4 linked regions of the Coturnix japonica genome follow. The protein of the gene in region 1 binds, or shares a complex with, the protein of each later gene. Links are inferred from orthologs where the notes say so. Each region holds a gene or a part of one and is shown on either strand. Other genes may lie near its edges.

Region 1 (4,146 bases):
CCATATATACAATTAGTACACTCACTAATGTACTACAAGAATTCCCTACTTGCTAAGCCAAAGTTTCCTTGTAGATAAGCTGAAGTACATTTACATCTCACCTACAAATGCCATATCATAGAACAAATATAAACCCATTAGAAGGCATATTTCCAACAAAGTCACCCACGATATTTCAACTCATTGAAAATTCTAGGTAGAAGAAAATACCATGTGGAAAGCAAAAAATTTTGAATTTCTAGTCTCCAGCCTAAGCTTATAGACTATTGCTTTATCTGATTTTAAACTGAGCAAAGACTTTTAATGTTCTTCTGCCAATAAGTATTTTCAGTGTATGTCACTTTCAGAGTAATATTTTAGAATGTCTAAAAAAGTATTTTATTGCATAAAACTTTTGAATAATACCTCCTAAAGTACTAGAACCGTGTTTTCTGAAAGACACTGTAAGCCTTATCTATATTATTATGATCTAATATAAAGCAAGGATAGCTACCATACACTGTGGACAAGTAATACTCACCCTTCTGAAGATGCGTTATTGTTATCACAATTAAACATTCCCTGAACTCTCAATTTGATACAGACACTGGGGACAAACAAAGAATGACCTTTTAATTTTTACAAGTCACAAAGAACCGGAATGTGCCAAGCCCTAAAAATAATAATAATAAATTAAAAAATAATGGAAAAAAAGGGGGGTGGGGTAGGGGGAAAGAGGAAAAAGAGAAAAAGAGAGAAAGGACTTGTATATGAGGAAATCTCCGTTTAGAAGTTTATCGTGTACTAAAAATACCAGTAAAGTCTCGCTGAAGTACTGAACGGTTGGATCTGCAATTGCTCGACTTGCACAAAGACAAACCTATCCTGCAACAAATAAACAGACCAAACAAAAACAAAACCAAAAAACCAAACAGAGAAAAAAACCAAGGCCCTAGTTCCAATGAAATATACTGTTTCATAACTTTGAAAAAGTATCTTGAGCCAGGTACAGGTTCATTATACCATTTTTGCTACATTATGCTGAGACTGCTTTTCTTTCTGCCCATTCCTAATAATTTTTGGATGTTCGTACTTAACACCAGATACACATGCGTTGCGCTACAATACATTGATTTCATCACCTTTGTCTGATCACACACACGCCTGTTGCTCCAGCACAACTCCGTCCCTTTCACACCTCCCCAAACATGCCGATTTCAGAGATCGCCCCACACACCCGCGCTTTGCGACATTAGGTCTCCAACTCAGCAGTTCCAGCTCCCTCCGAACTCTGGAGGGCCGGTTAGCCGAGCAGCGCCCTTCCCGACGAGGAAGTTGGCCGGACAGATTGACTCCCGCGCCGTCCCCGCTCTCCCGCACTCGGTGCCCGTGAAACTCGCCGGGGGCTGGAGAGCCCCGTCGCAGACTGGCCGGCGGGACGGCAACGTGCGAGGGCGAGAGTGGGAACGCTCCGCTTCCGGGACACCGCGGGCACATGGGGCTGCCGCGGACCTACTCGCACCCCAGGGCGGGGGCTACCGCCGCGTAACAACTTCTGCACCGTGCTTCTCTCTCGGAGGGGGCTGAGGCGGACAGAACGGACTTGTCTTCGCGTTTCGGACTCACCGAGACCTCACCTTGCGTACGTTTAACACACGGATCCCCCCGCCGACCCCTCAGCGAAACCGTGCCAGAGGCAGCCGCCACCACAGGAGGCCGGCAGGAACGGGGAGGAGAGGAAACAGCCGGCTCCTACCCGCTCTTTCTCCCGCACGGCGCCAGTCGCCCCCCCCGCCCAAGGCTCCGCTCCGCCGAGCGCGGCGCGGCCAGGATGGACAGAGCCAACTCAGACAAAAGGCACCGTCGGCTCCGCGCCGCTCCCTCCGCTGTCAACGGCTGCAGAGCGGGCGCGAATCTCGCTGCCGCCCCCCACCCCATCCCGTTCCTTCAAGCGCGACGCGGCGCGCTGCTCGGGACCGAGGCGGTCGCGCCCTCCCTGTCTGCCTCCCCACCCCCCATAACAAAGGGAGTCGGTTATAAATAACTGCTCCCGGCCCGCAGCCCGTACGGTGGTTGTGGTGCTGCTGCCGCTGCCGTCCAGCTCACCCGTCCCCTCGCTCCAATCTCGTGCCACCGCCACCACAGCCGCTTCGCTCCCCGACTCTTCTTCCCTCCTGCCTCCGGCTGCCGGATTCACCCTCCCGGACCGAGCGCCAAATACAGTGGCCCAATCGGTAACACGTTCATTGGCGAGAGCCGAGCGCCGCCCCGATTGGACGGACGCGGACGGAGCGCCCCGAGCCAATCAGGGGCGGAGAGGGGCGGGGAGAGGGGCGGGGTCCGTGCCCCACGTGCTGGCGGGAAGGAGGGGTGGGGGAGCTCTTTGTTCTCGCGCTGCCGCCCGGGCTGGCGGTTTTGTGCCCTCTTTGCCCGTCCGTGTAGCTGAGCGGGCAGCGGGTCTGGAGTTTGAGGTGCTCCGGCCGCCGCCTCACGGGGACTGGGGAGGGGAGGGAGGCGAGGGGTCCGACGGGAGCGGGGAGGGGCCTCGCGTCTCAGTGCTGCTGAGTTTGAATCAGTTCGAAAGTGGGAGCTGTAACGGTTTTAACAGTCGTGCTGCTGCTTCCGCGCGCTGCAGAGAGGGGAGGGGACGGGACGGGACGGGACGGGACAGGACGGAGAACTGGGAGAGGCGCGTCTGCGACCAGGCGGGAAGATCCAGGCGGGGACTGGGGGTGTTGTTGGCAGGAGCTGCTTACCTCAGCACGGCCCGCTCCCTGCCCGTCGCTTCCGCGGCGGGCTCTCTCCTTCCCGGCATTGCGCCGTGCCGAGCGTTGGCTGGCTGAGTCACTAACCAGAGTACGTGATGCATCCTCCTGCCGTGTCATCTGACCTTTGCGCACCCAAACCTAGCACGTATCTGTCCTTTTGTTTCACGCTGTTGCTCACGAATTTTGGTGCCTTGCTGTTCTGTAACCAGCATGGATTCTTAACTGTCAAAATCCCATTGTGTCCCATCTTGGCAGTGATGGTAAATCACAGCAACAGCAAGGTGTCCATTCTGCATAAGGCTGGGATCCTGTTGCTAGTGATACACTGTCTCTAGCCTAAGGTTGCTACCATTTTCCCTCGTTTTTATTCTACGACTCAGTCACGTTGACAAGGAGGTACTTTAAACCTCAAGGATTCATTCCCCCTTAGCCTTCTTTTGTCTCACTGTTTGGCCACTGCAGCCCTTCTTTGTTGACTGGAAAAACAAAATTGCCAAGATAAGATCATGGTGGGAAACTTCCATGTATGCTTGTCACCATCTCTCCTTCCTAAGCCTCCTGTGTTCAGCACTACTTCTGAGGTAGAATGGATTGTGAGCCTTGTACCCTTACTGTCTGTTACCAGTGTTTCTCACCTTCCCTTGCAAATCACTTCTGATACATTCAACTACCTTGTCTCATCTTTGTGTGAAGCCCAAAAATTAGCACTGTCCACCATAATGAGGTTCTGAATGATAAAAATCCTATGAGAGAAGATCATTGACACAGCTTCATGCCCAAATCTTTCAGCTGCATTATAGGCCAAACAAGGATCAGAGTTCTTTTAATGTGGAACAGAAATTATTTCCTCTTATGTTTGCATGTCACGAAACGATATATTGTCATACTCTTTCTTTGATTCTACTAGAGTAGATGACCTTTTCCAAGATTACGTTAAAACTATCAACTTTGCAAAATGTCAGTCATTTCTTGAAATTCAGCTATTTAAATCTATTCTGCTCCAAGATGGCTGGCACCACCAAAATGGCTACCCAGTCTCTTCACAGCTTGGAACTTGTAGTTTTTTTATTGTTAGAATTGCACTTCATGAGATCTTATCTTAGTCTATATATATATATATATATATATATACAACTCCTGTGCTAAATAAGCATAGCGTAACTTTAAGCAAGCACTATAGTCAGTCACAAGGTGAAAAAAAGATGTGTGGAGACAACACTGAACTCAATTGCAGTACACGCTTCAGTTTTTGTCTTGCACAGAAAGTTATTCACCTGCTGTACGTGAAGCTAATGCTTACTAGAAAATAAAACACATTTTGAATGGAACTACTCTTTCTGTTTTGCACTCTGTGAAAACAATCTTTCCATGCTGCATTTCAGTTCTAGAAGTGATGAAT
Region 2 (4,262 bases), on another chromosome or scaffold:
CAAGTCGATGTCAACTTCCTTAGGTCTTCGGTGACAAAACTGGAGTCTCCATTCAGGACACAGGCAGAAAGTAGACATCAGAGTGCTGTACAAGATACTGTTTTACAGAGAACATCGCTGAGCAGATATCAATCTGTCATAGTTACATCGTGTAAATCTGACCTGCTCCCAGGTTCTCCCAGGTACTCTACCATCCCATTGTGAACACTCTTGAGGCTTTTCCATGCCTCCCCTACCACTGGCAACTGCCTGCCCAGCTGATCACCCTAAGGACGCACATCATGTTCCAGCTGGCTTCTAAGGGGCAGCAATAATTTCCACTGATAGGCCAAGGGACCTGTTGGACTACGTGTAGCATCACTGTTTTTGCTGTCTACCCCAAGGCAGCAAGGAATGTCATCAAAATGAGCTTTTCTATCACCAGAAATAACAAATGGCACTTTGCGTGGCGTGGTTCTTTTCCTACTCAACTCAAGCAGCAGGCTATGAAATTACCATACAAAATTGCTTCTCAGTATCTCTACGTTTTCAGCGTGGCCACTGAAGACAAAACCTTTGCAAGATAAAAACCAAAAACACAGTCCTAATTTAAAACTACTGAACACAAAAGGCTCCTGCAACTGACTCTGCTCCAAAGGTACTGGAAAGGAGCAACGAAGAGCACACACAGATTTGATTTGTGCCACTATAACAAGAGGAGCCTGCAAACAATGACAGAGAAAGAAACTAGTACAGCAGCTCTGAAGTGTGTGAGCAAGACGTAACGGGGCTGCACTGTCAGAAAACCCCTGTAACTGATTCCTGTTATTTCCTTAACCTACAAATTGAGACAGACTCACAAGAGATCAAGCTGCAGTGCAGAGTTTCATTTGGTAGAAAACAAGAAGTGACGACCCTAAACCTCCACCACATACCTGTTGTTTCCCCAGAAATCTACTCCCACACTTATGTGATTTCATGTAAAAATCCACGTGAAAACAGAGAGAAAGAAAGAAAAAGAAAGAAAAACTCGCCACCTTCTTATTTCACAGCAAGTCTGAAGGAACGAAAAAAATCCCCCAAGTCCTCAAGACTCAGAAGTCAGGAGGAAATGAAAAGCATGGATTTAAAATTCGTTTTTAATTTTTCCTAAGACTTTCAGACCCAGCACATGGTTTGGGGAACTGACTCACGAGGGTTTCATTTAACACGTGAGGCTGGACCTAGAAATGCCACGCTCCTGCAACACGGGCGTTTCCCCATCTACTCAAATTTAACCTAACACATCAACAAAGCATGTAACCTGGACCAAAACTGATCATCTTTACGCTCAATAGCAAAACTATCTTCAAAAAAGGAACAATTATTATTTTTGTACCAACTACCGCAAAGCCCAAGGCTTTCTTAAAGCCAAACCTAAAAAGGCAAAGAATAAAAGAAGTTTCTAAAACTATTCTGAAGCACTTAGCAGTAAAAGAACCGACAAATTCCACTCTTTTTTCCCCCCACATCCTATTTTCCATTAGGCTGTATTACATACCCCCAAGAAAACCACTAGGCAAGCCGTGCTCCTAGAAGTGCCCAACCTCTGTGCTAAACGCGACCTGGGAACTGGGCTGTGCCGTCCCTCGAGCCTCAAGCCGGCAACTACAGAAATCATCCACATTTGGCATTAAACCATTCATCCAAAAATGACTAAGTCTCACACGGCTGGGCTCGGCTTCATCCACAACACAGCTCAGCCCGGGCGAAGGGCCGTTCCCTCGCTCCTTTCAGCAAGGTGGGATTTTTCCCTTGTGTTCGGCGGTTTCCTCAGCTCGCCGCCCGCAGCACGTACACCCGCAGGTACGGAGCGACCACGGCACAGCAGGCGCGGTACGACTACGGTATCGCAGCGGCATCCCTCCGGAACCGGAGCGGCCCCAGGGCGCGGCGCGGCCGACCGCCCCCGCCCGGAGCACGCAGCCCCCCATCCGCCGGCCTGACAGCCCCGCGGCCCTCGGGCGGGGCGAGGCCCCAGGACATGGCGCCCGCGGGCCTCCCGCACCGGGCACTGACCTGTCCTCTGAGTCCATGCGGCTCAGCGGTTCCCCGTCCGAGGACATCTCCAGGCTGCCCCGCCGCCCCCCCGACGTGGCGCTGCAGCTGCTGCTGCCGCTGCTGCCGCCGCCGCCGCCGGTGCCGTAGCCCTCGTCGCCGCCGCTGGACACGCTGCTGGAGCTGCTCCCGCCGCCGCCGCCGCCGCGGCCCAGCCCGCCCTCCTGGCCGCCCCGCGGGCCCTTGGGCTCCTCCTTGGCGTCGGCCTCGCTGCTGCCGCCGGGGCTGAGCGAGCGGGTCTCGTCGCTGCAGCAGCCGCTGCTCGTGCTGCTGCTGCCCACCAGGCTGCTCTCCTCCTCCTCGCCGCCCTCCTCCTCCTCTTCCTCCTCCTCCTCCTCGTCTTCGTCCTCCCCGTCCCCGGCCTGGCTGGCGCTCTCCGGGCTGGGCTCCGACATGCTCTCCGCCTCGCCGTTCAGCAGCAGCAGCGACTCCGTCTCCGCCGCCGAGGACGGAGGCGACGACGAGGAGCCGACCCCGGCGACGACCGCAGCAACGGCCGCCGCCTCCTCCTCTTCCTCAGCCGCAGCGGCCGCCGCCTCGCCGGGAAGCAGCCCCTCCGGCTCCGCCATGTCGCTGCGAGCGGCCGCCATGGCGCCTGCGAGTCGCTGCGAGCCGAGCCGAAGCCGAACGGGGCCGAATCGAGCCGAGCCGGGCCGTGCGCGCGGCCGGTAGGCGCGTGCCCCGGTTCGTGTGTGCGCGCGGCCGCGCTCCCCCCGCCCTCGCCCCGCTCAGCCGCACAATCGCGCGGCGGCGCGAGCCGCAAAGAGGAGGGGCACGAACCGCCACCGCCGCACGCGCTACGGAACGAGCCCGGGGACAAAAAGCTTCCGCGAGGCGGAGCGCGGGACGAGGAACCGGGAACCGGGGATCGGGGGGTGCGAGGCGGCCGTTAACGCCGAACCGCCTCTGAGGCGACACTCGCGGTCACGGGGCGGCAGCGGGATCAGGGGTGAAGAGAAACGCTGAGCCAAGATGGGAGGAACGGCGTGTCTCCTCAGGGGAAGGGAGAGAGGCCCCTCCACAAGGAGTGGGTCAGAGTGTGAGTGTGCCCTGTGTGAATCGCTAAAAGAGAGAGCTGGGCTGGGACACAATGGGACAGAAGGAGGTTTTCAGTGGCACTGGCATCAGGAGAGCGTCTGAAGTGTGGCCTCACACCTCCGTTGGCTGTAAGAAGCTTCCAGGCTGTGGCGTGGCCAAGGCTGAATGCAAAACGCACGTCACTGCCCGAAGTGGAAGTAAAACCTGAGTTAAATGTGCTAAAACCGAGGCAGTTGGTTAATATTTTCCTCATAAACTCAGGCCAGGGTTTGGAGGAATGAGGGCTGCTAAATTGGCTGAGTTGGGAACGTTGCCATCTGAAGAAGAATAGATGGGGAAGAGAGAAAGATGAGCAGAACGACCACCAATCACATACGAGACTTCAGAAAAAACTATTAAATTAATAATGACAATTAAAGTCATTTTAATATTGGAAGAAAAGGGGATGAAGTTTACTCGAGGCAGATCGTGCTTTATTTTGCCTTGTCTGTACGGACATGGAGAATACCTTCAGTGAACTGTCACATGGAAATGATCAGCAATCCGTGTGGGATGGGGATTTTCCATAGAACAGGGAAGTACCCACCTCATAGAATCACAGAATGACCCGGGTTGGAAGGGACCTCAAGGATCATGTAGTTCCACCTCCCAGACATGGAGATGAAATTTTTTACTGAACTTGCCAAATTTAATAAGAAAAAAATCGTGAACTGGGGATGGTTTGGCTTATGAGCGGATGACAAAACTAAACCACAGCTCAGTCCAGAAAGACTTTGTTCTCTGTGCAACAGGAAGACTACCACCTCCTCAAGTCATAGCAGGCTCATCTAGCGTTGCCACAGAGGAACAGGAAAAGTTAGCCACAGAGGATTAAAATCTGGGGAGGGTGCTCCTGAGCCCTACATCAGCACAAGCAGGGCTGGCTGCCCGCCCATCAATCTGCACGCATGTATCTGTTCGCAGCAACACCAGCAGCCTGCAGTGAGCGATGCCAGCACAGAATGCCACAGTGCTGCGGGAGCACCGCAGCCTTGGAGCAAAGGGATGTGACGTTGCACTCGTCTTTGAGAGCAAACAAATGACATCTTTAACCTGCAGAGGAGCATAAGCCGATCTGTGAGGCAAACAGCAGTAAAAATGCTCGATAG
Region 3 (3,560 bases), about 7.7 Mb from region 1:
CACCAGCTGAGAAGCACAGGCATTAAAGGTGAACAAGTACACACTTAGCGCATGAACAAAGAATGGCTGACATTGCCACTCCATGGGGACTCCTGGATGCAAAGGCCTTTGCTGACTCTGCAAGCAGTGTGGCAGCAGGGCAGCACATACACTTCAGGCCTTCCAGACCTTCTCCTGTCACATTGCTCAATGAGCCGAAGGCTCCCATTGTTCGGGGTTCTCGAGAACTGCTGAAACTGTTGAAAGGCAATCAGCTTCTCACCTTCGGTGGGAGTCAGCATTTCAGTAACTTTTGTTCTCCATTTAATTGATTTTCTGAGGTCAAGAAACAGTTATACTGCTTATCGTTCACTGTTCTCACTGATGATCCTCTTGGGTAATAACACCATTATCATCGGAATGTCACAGAAAGGCACGTGACATGCCGGCAGCACCTGCTTCCACTAATTCCTCCATCAGCTGTTGTACTTCCATTGTAATTTAATTCATCATCATCTGTAGCAGCACATACGCATTGAATTCGGAAAGGATCACCATGTTCATAACCATTTGTAAGCTCAGTGCTAAGTCCATTTGTTTTAAGTGTCTCCAACATATGAAACGTAGCTAACACCTGAGTACTAATGGCCAGCATCTAGGCACTAGAACGATGTGTGGAATCATAATTAAAAATGATTATCATATGATAAAGAAAGAAAAAAATCACAATAGAAAATATTAGGAATCTGGTAGATACAGAGTTGATATGTAAAATAAGAAAATGGTGGCTATTTAGTCAGAGTATGAATTCAGTCACTTTCCCAATGATAATACGGAGCAAGCTTGGACAAGTATCTCTCTGTCAGCCTAAGGGAAGCCTGCCCTGACCAGCTGTTGTGCTGGTTTCCATCTCATGAAAACTTCCTACCCTATCTCAAGCAGAAACAGTTCATTGCTAAGTATCTCAGAACAGATCACAGAAGATAAACCAAAACTTTTCTTCCCAGAAAGAAGGTTTTTAATGCTTAGTTTATACTATGTTTTTCATTAGACCTGCCATTGTGAAGACTAAACTTCTAGGTAGAAGTTTAGTTGAATGTTAATTCATTCACACAAAAGGTACTAGAAAAACTGCTGTTAACACCAGCCTACAGAGAGCCACTGCAGTGAGCATGAAAACAAACACGGTAATACCTACCAAATGCAATCAGCACCAGTGTGTAAGTAGTCAATGTATGGAAGGTGATTTTGGTCTCGAGACCAGCATGAGGTAGAAAAGACCATGCCAATATTTAGCCAAGGAATTGTCACTCCTGAAACAGAGATTGAAAATGAGTTTTGAGTAATCGCAATTTCTAATTAAAAGACAGTTTGAGGGCATTTCAGTTGCAATTCTTCTACCTGTGAGCTTTTTGCAGTCTGCCTATCAGAGTGAATAATTCACAAAGAATAATTTATTTAATGACACCAGCATTTCCCACTACTGAAATATCTAGCAGATGAACATATTTATTTTCTAAGAGCTGCAAAAAATTTTATCCTTTGGTTTATTTACAAATATTCATAACCCAAGCTCAATGCTATTGATCACAGAAGACTGCCTCTCAGTGTCAGTGCATATATACACGTTAACATAAATCCTCTTTCCTAACTGGCACGGTCCAGGCACAAAATCCAGGTGACTGGATTTTGCTTTCAGCTAATGTTTCTAATGACACAGATGCGGCTGGAGCTTGTGACACTTGCAACAATTCATTTACAAAAAAAAAACCTGTGTGCAGCTTTACCCAACATTTGTCCAGGTTTGCACCAAGAAAGCTGTATGTCTTTCATCACCCTGACACAAAACAAGAACACTGATGTACTGACAACAACAGACAGTGATGCTGCAAGCACAACCAGCTCCTCCCAGGTGCATGGTCTTAACCATTCATTAAGTCTATATCTAAAACCTGATTTCCATCCCACAGGTATGAGCTGCTACTTACAACTGCATCTCTACCTAGGCAGCTACTCAACAAAAGGACTAGACAGAGCGAGAGAAGGCTTTGATGACTACACTACCACATTTAGAGGGCACACATGACAAACACAGAAAAAGAATCCTACTTACCAGGCACAGCACCAAGATGTCGCAGGATGGATCCTGTATTATTAGGAAGGACTGTGAGGTTCCACCCATGCCTGTTAAAAGGGACCCAGAGGGAAACATATGTCAGCACCATGCCCCTGCTGTCAAGCCAGCGCTGTGCTGCCCCACTGGCAGCAAGTTCCCACACCTGGTTACGCAAATGGGGCAGGCGGCACAGATTCGGTGACCTTACCTAGAAAATGGTTCAGATTTCCCCACAGGAAAGCCGCTCCCATGGGTGTTGGTATCTACTTTTCCACAATGCACTGCTACATGGCTATCTTTCTGTTCCACTAACCGCCAATATTCTTGCTGTTGGGAGAGAAAGTGGTGATGGGTTTTGAACAAGGTACTTCCCATTAAAATTTAAGTCCCAGAAATCACCTCAGTGTAACTCAACATAAAACACCGTTTAGAAATAAGGACAAGAGGTAATGGCCTCAAGTTGTGCCAGGACAGGTTCATGTTGGATATTAGGAAAAAATTTGTCTCAGAAGGAGACAAGCATTGGAACGAGCTGCCCAGAGAAGTGGAGGAATCACCATCCCTGGAGATGTTCAAGAAATGTGTAGATGTGGCACTGAGGGATGTGGTTTAGTGGGCATGGTGAGGATGGATTGACAGCTGGACTAGATGATCTTGGAGTTCTTTTCCAACCTTAATGATTCCATGATTGCAAATACTAAAAAGCACTGGTGGATTGTGAAGACAGGAATTAGCCCCACTTGCTCCTGTGCTTCATTGCAAAGTACACTAAAAAGTCTTTCTCGCAGTTCAATACCTTTATGAAAAACGTTTAAAAAACCGAAGGGAAGAATCACTATCACACCTACACATAATGAATTATTTTTTTTCCCCACATCAGACATCCCCCACATTAAACCACTAATGGTAGTTTCTAAACATCAATAAAGATGAACCTCTATGCTCCACCTCCACAACACAAAACATTTACTACCCCTTGTGCTGGTCTCACCTCTACTTCAGCTACTGTAGGCTCCTTTGTGAAGCACATGTTCATGATGTTTCTTGCTGTTCGGTAGAAGGTTGTTAAAGAAACGGACCTACCCTGTGGAAATAGAAAATAAAATTAAAAGTGAAAATAAAACTAGGTGTCCCCATCTCCCCTGGCCTAACTCTTTTCCTTACATGCTTAAACTTCTAATCACAAATGAAGAAAATATCTTCGGGAAGCATGTGACATTTTCTTATTAGATTTCTCAAACCTTAGAGAAGTTTCATCACCTTAAAATGACATTTCACCTCTCAAAACAGTACGGTCAAACCAACCCTTTCAAAGACCAGCTGAGCGTTCACAGAAAGCCACGTGCACTGCTTCATCCAACACAGCATTCTGTGTTTGAAAACTACAGCAGCCGGATACATGACCTCGTAGTCTATGACATGTTGCAAATGAACCGGTACCCAGCCCTACCTGAATGTCAGACTC
Region 4 (3,560 bases), on another chromosome or scaffold:
ATAAAACACATAAGGACACCTTTCTCTTGGCATCACTTTTCAATCTTTCTCCAAAATATCAAAAGACTGGGAATAAAAATGAGGATGAATCAAGACCCAGTCAGAAATCAGTAACCTGTGAACTGCAACTGATCAACAGAAGTTATTACCACTTCAGAGCATGAAACATAATTCTTAGGCTTGAAATCCAGTTCCAATTCAGAGAGCTGAGACCACTGTAGAACATGGAATGTGAAACTCTGCACAAATATTGGTGTTGGGAAGACTGAACTGACAGAGAATCAGTTTTCAAATACTTTAAGACAGCACGTTCCATGAGTCTGCATTTCTGATATTATTTCAATACGAAAGACTCGAGGATGTGGGAAAGACGAAAGAAGGCTAAGACCCAATAGGAGGAATGTGCCACATGAGCAGGGTATTAAATCACAGAAAAGCCTCTGTGTTCTTTTTCCTACAAAGCCTTCACTATTATGATGAAGAGGAATCAAGCAAGTGTGTTTTTACTTAAAAGGATACATCAGCATCCACATAGGACTGTAACAGGCGGATTTCTCCTTGGGAGTGGCATTCATATAAAGTAACCTGGGGAAAGAAAAAAGTGAGAGGGATTGTTACTTACTTGTGATAGTACAAGAGAAAACCAAATACACCTGTGCACTGTGCTGTTTGTGGAATGGCAGTATGCTTCTATGGTTTAGCTCTCATCTCACCTGTTTATCTAACAGTGGGTTTAATAAAACAATGTGCCCAACAGTTTTAGTAAAGCAGCATTCCAGGACTTGCTAGCAGCCCTTCCCAGATATTAAAATATACTCTTTGAATATTCTCTACTTATAACTAGTTACTTCATCACCTCTAACCAGACCTAGTCTTTACATGAGCATTTGATATACAGTTAATTTTAGTTTAGCACTTTTGTCAGGTTGGACAAACCTGGAAATGAGAGACTTCTTGTTTATGTGGAACACTTCCATAGGAGGAACTTGAAGACTAAAACAATGTAGAGTCTTGTTCAGAAAAAGCCTATAAAATCAGGCTATCAATTAAGCCTTCTAGAAACAGTAACATCTAAGAAGAATAATTTCAGTGAGAAGATACATTTATGCACCTGTCTTCTTTAACATATGTTCATGTTACTAGCAAAATTTTAATTACCACAGAGGCTAATTCCCAAGCAGCTAAGGCATGGCATCATACTGTAATTCAGAGGCAGAACATCTCCAAGATAACAGACACTACATACCTCATAAATACGGCTTTCTATGCAAGTCACCGTATGTTAGTACTATACACAGGTAAGGGGTTTCATTGAAAAAAATGAATGCAAAGAAAAGCAACAGGAGGTTGAAAACAAGTTACTTACTCTGTTGCTGCCTACAGTGGCAAAAACAAGAGGATCGCCTTCTTTACTGTGCCAGTTAAACTGGACTCCAAACAAAGGCTGACCATGGTCCTCCTGCAGATGTAAAGCAAGGTTAGAAAAAAAATAAAGCTCACAAACACATTATTTCTGTGAAATTCAGCTGTAATGGGAAACAAATTGTTATGTTTTCCCCCCAAACTACTAGGTTCACACCCAATATAATTTCATATAGCGAACAGTTAAGAAGAACAGTTTTGTAACATCACATTCTAATTTGGCTGTCTTCACAGAGGATAAAGCAGTATTTCTTTCCTCTCAACAAAGTTTTAAATTCTAAGGGAAGAACTGTTGCCTCACAGCTGAGAACAGAAGTTGGCCCAACTACTGCTTACTCTGCTTTGCATCTTTCAACAAGGAAACCTCCTAAGGTCACGTCTATAAGCACTTTATATTGCTGTAGTTACTTTCACACAGGGATTTACAACATCACAAAGGAGATCTGTTAGGATTGAGAAGAATTATACTGGTGTAAGGGTGGAGAAGGGTTACATTTCACTATTACAGCACAGTTAGGTCTTGCAACTCTATCACAGGCACAATGAATTAACTCCAGCATATCACAAAGCTGCTGCAAAGTTCATGTCTACAAAATGTTTTCAGATCTCCTTCACAAACAGTTATCAGAAGAATGTCAAGTATTATTTTTATAACATTTTACATCAGTTTAAGGGGGAGGGAGGGGGGAAAGAAGCAGATATGTTTACAAATCACAATGAATATGGTGGTGCTTGTTATTAATTGATAACAGTATTTTGGCCTGTTCTGACAGGATGTTTTCAGCAAGAATAATGTTCATTAAAGTGCCTCCCCACAGGGGACTGTCTGGGACAGTACAGGCAGGAAGGAAGTGTCTCATGATGGCTGTTAAGCAGCCTTCAAATGGCAGTGCTTCAGAGACAACATGAGAAATATTAGCCCTGGCAGCTCTGACCCATACAGGAACCACAAAACAAATTTGAGGAGGGGGTATGGGGTGAGGAATTCAATTCTACTCAAAAACAAAACAAAACAAAAAAGACTTGCTAAAAAGGAAGTTAGAAAGAATTTGAACTAGGCCATATTTACTGGGAAATGCAGTATCTGTTGTTACCTCAATGGGGACAGCTAGAAGAGCCAAGTGAAAAAAATAGCTTTGAGTGAAGGCCCTCCTGCATCTCATAAGGAGAGGCACAATTTTCAAAGCTGAATACAAATTAAGAAAGCATGTTTGAAGTTGAACTCTAAGCATTAGCCACTGTAACATTAAAGAACAGGTAGCTGTTTGATGGGGAGCGTGGGAAAAGTAGCAAGGTTATTAGTAACCCCAGTACAGAAGAAAAAAGAGGAGGTATTCATCACTAGTACAGCGTTAAAATTAAATTAAGAGACACAGAATTAGGAAAACACCAGGGTATCTGCCTGAAGTTATGCTTACCTCATTTAAACTACCATCATCCTCACTGGTCAGAAACAGCACGTGCTATTTTGATAACACTGATAACTGTTTTAATCTTTGTACCTGCTGCTTACTAGGTTTTCAAAACATTACACTATTAGGTGCTGCATGTTAGTTATCCTGAGAGGCTGGATCTGTCACAACAACCTGACTCCTGGCTTTATAGACAGTTTGACCCAGATATAACAGTAGAATGGTGAAAAGCCACTTTGACCCTGGTATAAATAAAAGGCATGGACTCAAGGTACTTGGGTTCTTCATGCACCAGAAAGAAGGCAAAGAAACAGATCCTACAGTTGCTATAAAGGTAAACAGATAATCAGCAGTTGGTTCTGCCCTCACTCACTAAATAGCAGCTCAACTTCGGCCAGACAAAATAAGGTTAGGCCTGTTTTTAGACAGAAGGCAGCGAAATAAACACTAAGCCAACACAAAATAATCACCTGCAAGTACATGAGCCCATTTTAAAATATCATCACCCACACTGCTAGTGAGGCACAAACTGACCACACATGCATTCCTGGTTCCTGAAGGGGAAGCAAACTACCACTAGAAGTGGTTTTAGCTACTTCTCCCTTACTCGACAACAAACTAGAATCCAATTCCCAGGTCCAGGGATAGAAAGTAAAAGCTGAGATACTCCATTCAACAGCTAACAGCTATTCAACCACACCCTGAACAAGAGGGAAGGGTAGGGCA

Evidence for each region.
Region 2: the proteins of EZH2 (region 1) and AEBP2 are in contact, whole or in part, in a cryo-EM structure (PDB 8VMI), measured with the Homo sapiens proteins. The link is inferred for Coturnix japonica from reciprocal best matches to the Homo sapiens genes EZH2 and AEBP2. Residues at the interface, in NP_001190176.1 of Homo sapiens: Ser76, Leu77, Arg78, Gly79, Thr80, Thr100, Asn102, Ala103, Val104, Ala105, Ser619, Asp620, Val621, Ala622, Ile739, Glu742, Met743, Glu744, Ile745, Pro746; in NP_001107648.1 of Homo sapiens: Lys382, Leu383, Lys384, Asn385, Arg387, Arg388, Ser390, Leu391, Pro392, His395, Asp399, Ala400, Gln401, Asp404, Ala405, Arg407, His408, Ile411, Cys412, Leu415.
Region 3: the proteins of EZH2 (region 1) and JARID2 are in contact, whole or in part, in a cryo-EM structure (PDB 8VNZ), measured with the Homo sapiens proteins. The link is inferred for Coturnix japonica from reciprocal best matches to the Homo sapiens genes EZH2 and JARID2. Residues at the interface, in NP_001190176.1 of Homo sapiens: Arg78, Ile131, Pro132, Tyr133, Asp136, Ile146, Lys156, Val157, Asp160, Arg161; in NP_004964.2 of Homo sapiens: Arg108, Pro109, Arg110, Leu111, Ala113, Gln114, Arg115, Lys116, Thr154.
Region 4: the proteins of EZH2 (region 1) and EED are in contact, whole or in part, in a cryo-EM structure (PDB 8VMI), measured with the Homo sapiens proteins. The link is inferred for Coturnix japonica from reciprocal best matches to the Homo sapiens genes EZH2 and EED. Residues at the interface, in NP_001190176.1 of Homo sapiens: Arg34, Glu37, Val38, Lys39, Met41, Phe42, Ser43, Asn45, Arg46, Ile49, Arg52, Thr53, Ile55, Leu56, Asn57, Glu59, Trp60, Lys61, Arg63, Arg64, Ile65, Gln66, Pro67, Val68, His69, Ile70, Leu71, Glu82, Cys83, Ser84; in NP_003788.2 of Homo sapiens: Val85, Asn86, Ser87, Leu88, Lys89, Glu90, Asp91, Trp103, His104, Ser105, Lys106, Glu107, Asp109, Pro110, Val112, Arg120, Thr122, Leu123, Tyr124, Glu125, Gln129, Gly130, Glu131, Ile132, Arg133, Leu134, Leu135, Gln136, Ser137, Tyr138.

What each region holds. Positions count from the first base shown.
Region 1 is NC_029517.1:75,450,782-75,454,927, forward strand, and holds the start of EZH2 (histone-lysine N-methyltransferase EZH2), read right to left. Parts: upstream 2,845-4,146; 5' UTR 2,795-2,844; coding exon 2,736-2,794; intron 2,260-2,735; exon of another isoform or gene 2,048-2,259; intron 1-2,047. UniProt on the Homo sapiens protein: Polycomb group (PcG) protein. Catalytic subunit of the PRC2/EED-EZH2 complex, which methylates 'Lys-9' (H3K9me) and 'Lys-27' (H3K27me) of histone H3, leading to transcriptional repression of the affected target gene.
Region 2 is NC_029516.1:59,163,936-59,168,197, reverse strand, and holds the start of AEBP2 (zinc finger protein AEBP2), read right to left. Parts: upstream 2,813-4,262; 5' UTR 2,667-2,812; coding exon 2,038-2,666; intron 1-2,037. UniProt on the Homo sapiens protein: Acts as an accessory subunit for the core Polycomb repressive complex 2 (PRC2), which mediates histone H3K27 (H3K27me3) trimethylation on chromatin leading to transcriptional repression of the affected target gene.
Region 3 is NC_029517.1:67,726,291-67,729,850, forward strand, and holds part of JARID2 (protein Jumonji), read right to left. Parts: intron 3,180-3,560; coding exon 3,087-3,179; intron 2,423-3,086; coding exon 2,304-2,422; intron 2,164-2,303; coding exon 2,093-2,163; intron 1,293-2,092; coding exon 1,178-1,292; intron 1-1,177.
Region 4 is NC_029516.1:170,402,405-170,405,964, reverse strand, and holds part of EED (polycomb protein EED), read right to left. Parts: intron 1,460-3,560; coding exon 1,367-1,459; intron 586-1,366; coding exon 520-585; intron 1-519. UniProt on the Homo sapiens protein: Polycomb group (PcG) protein. Component of the PRC2/EED-EZH2 complex, which methylates 'Lys-9' and 'Lys-27' of histone H3, leading to transcriptional repression of the affected target gene.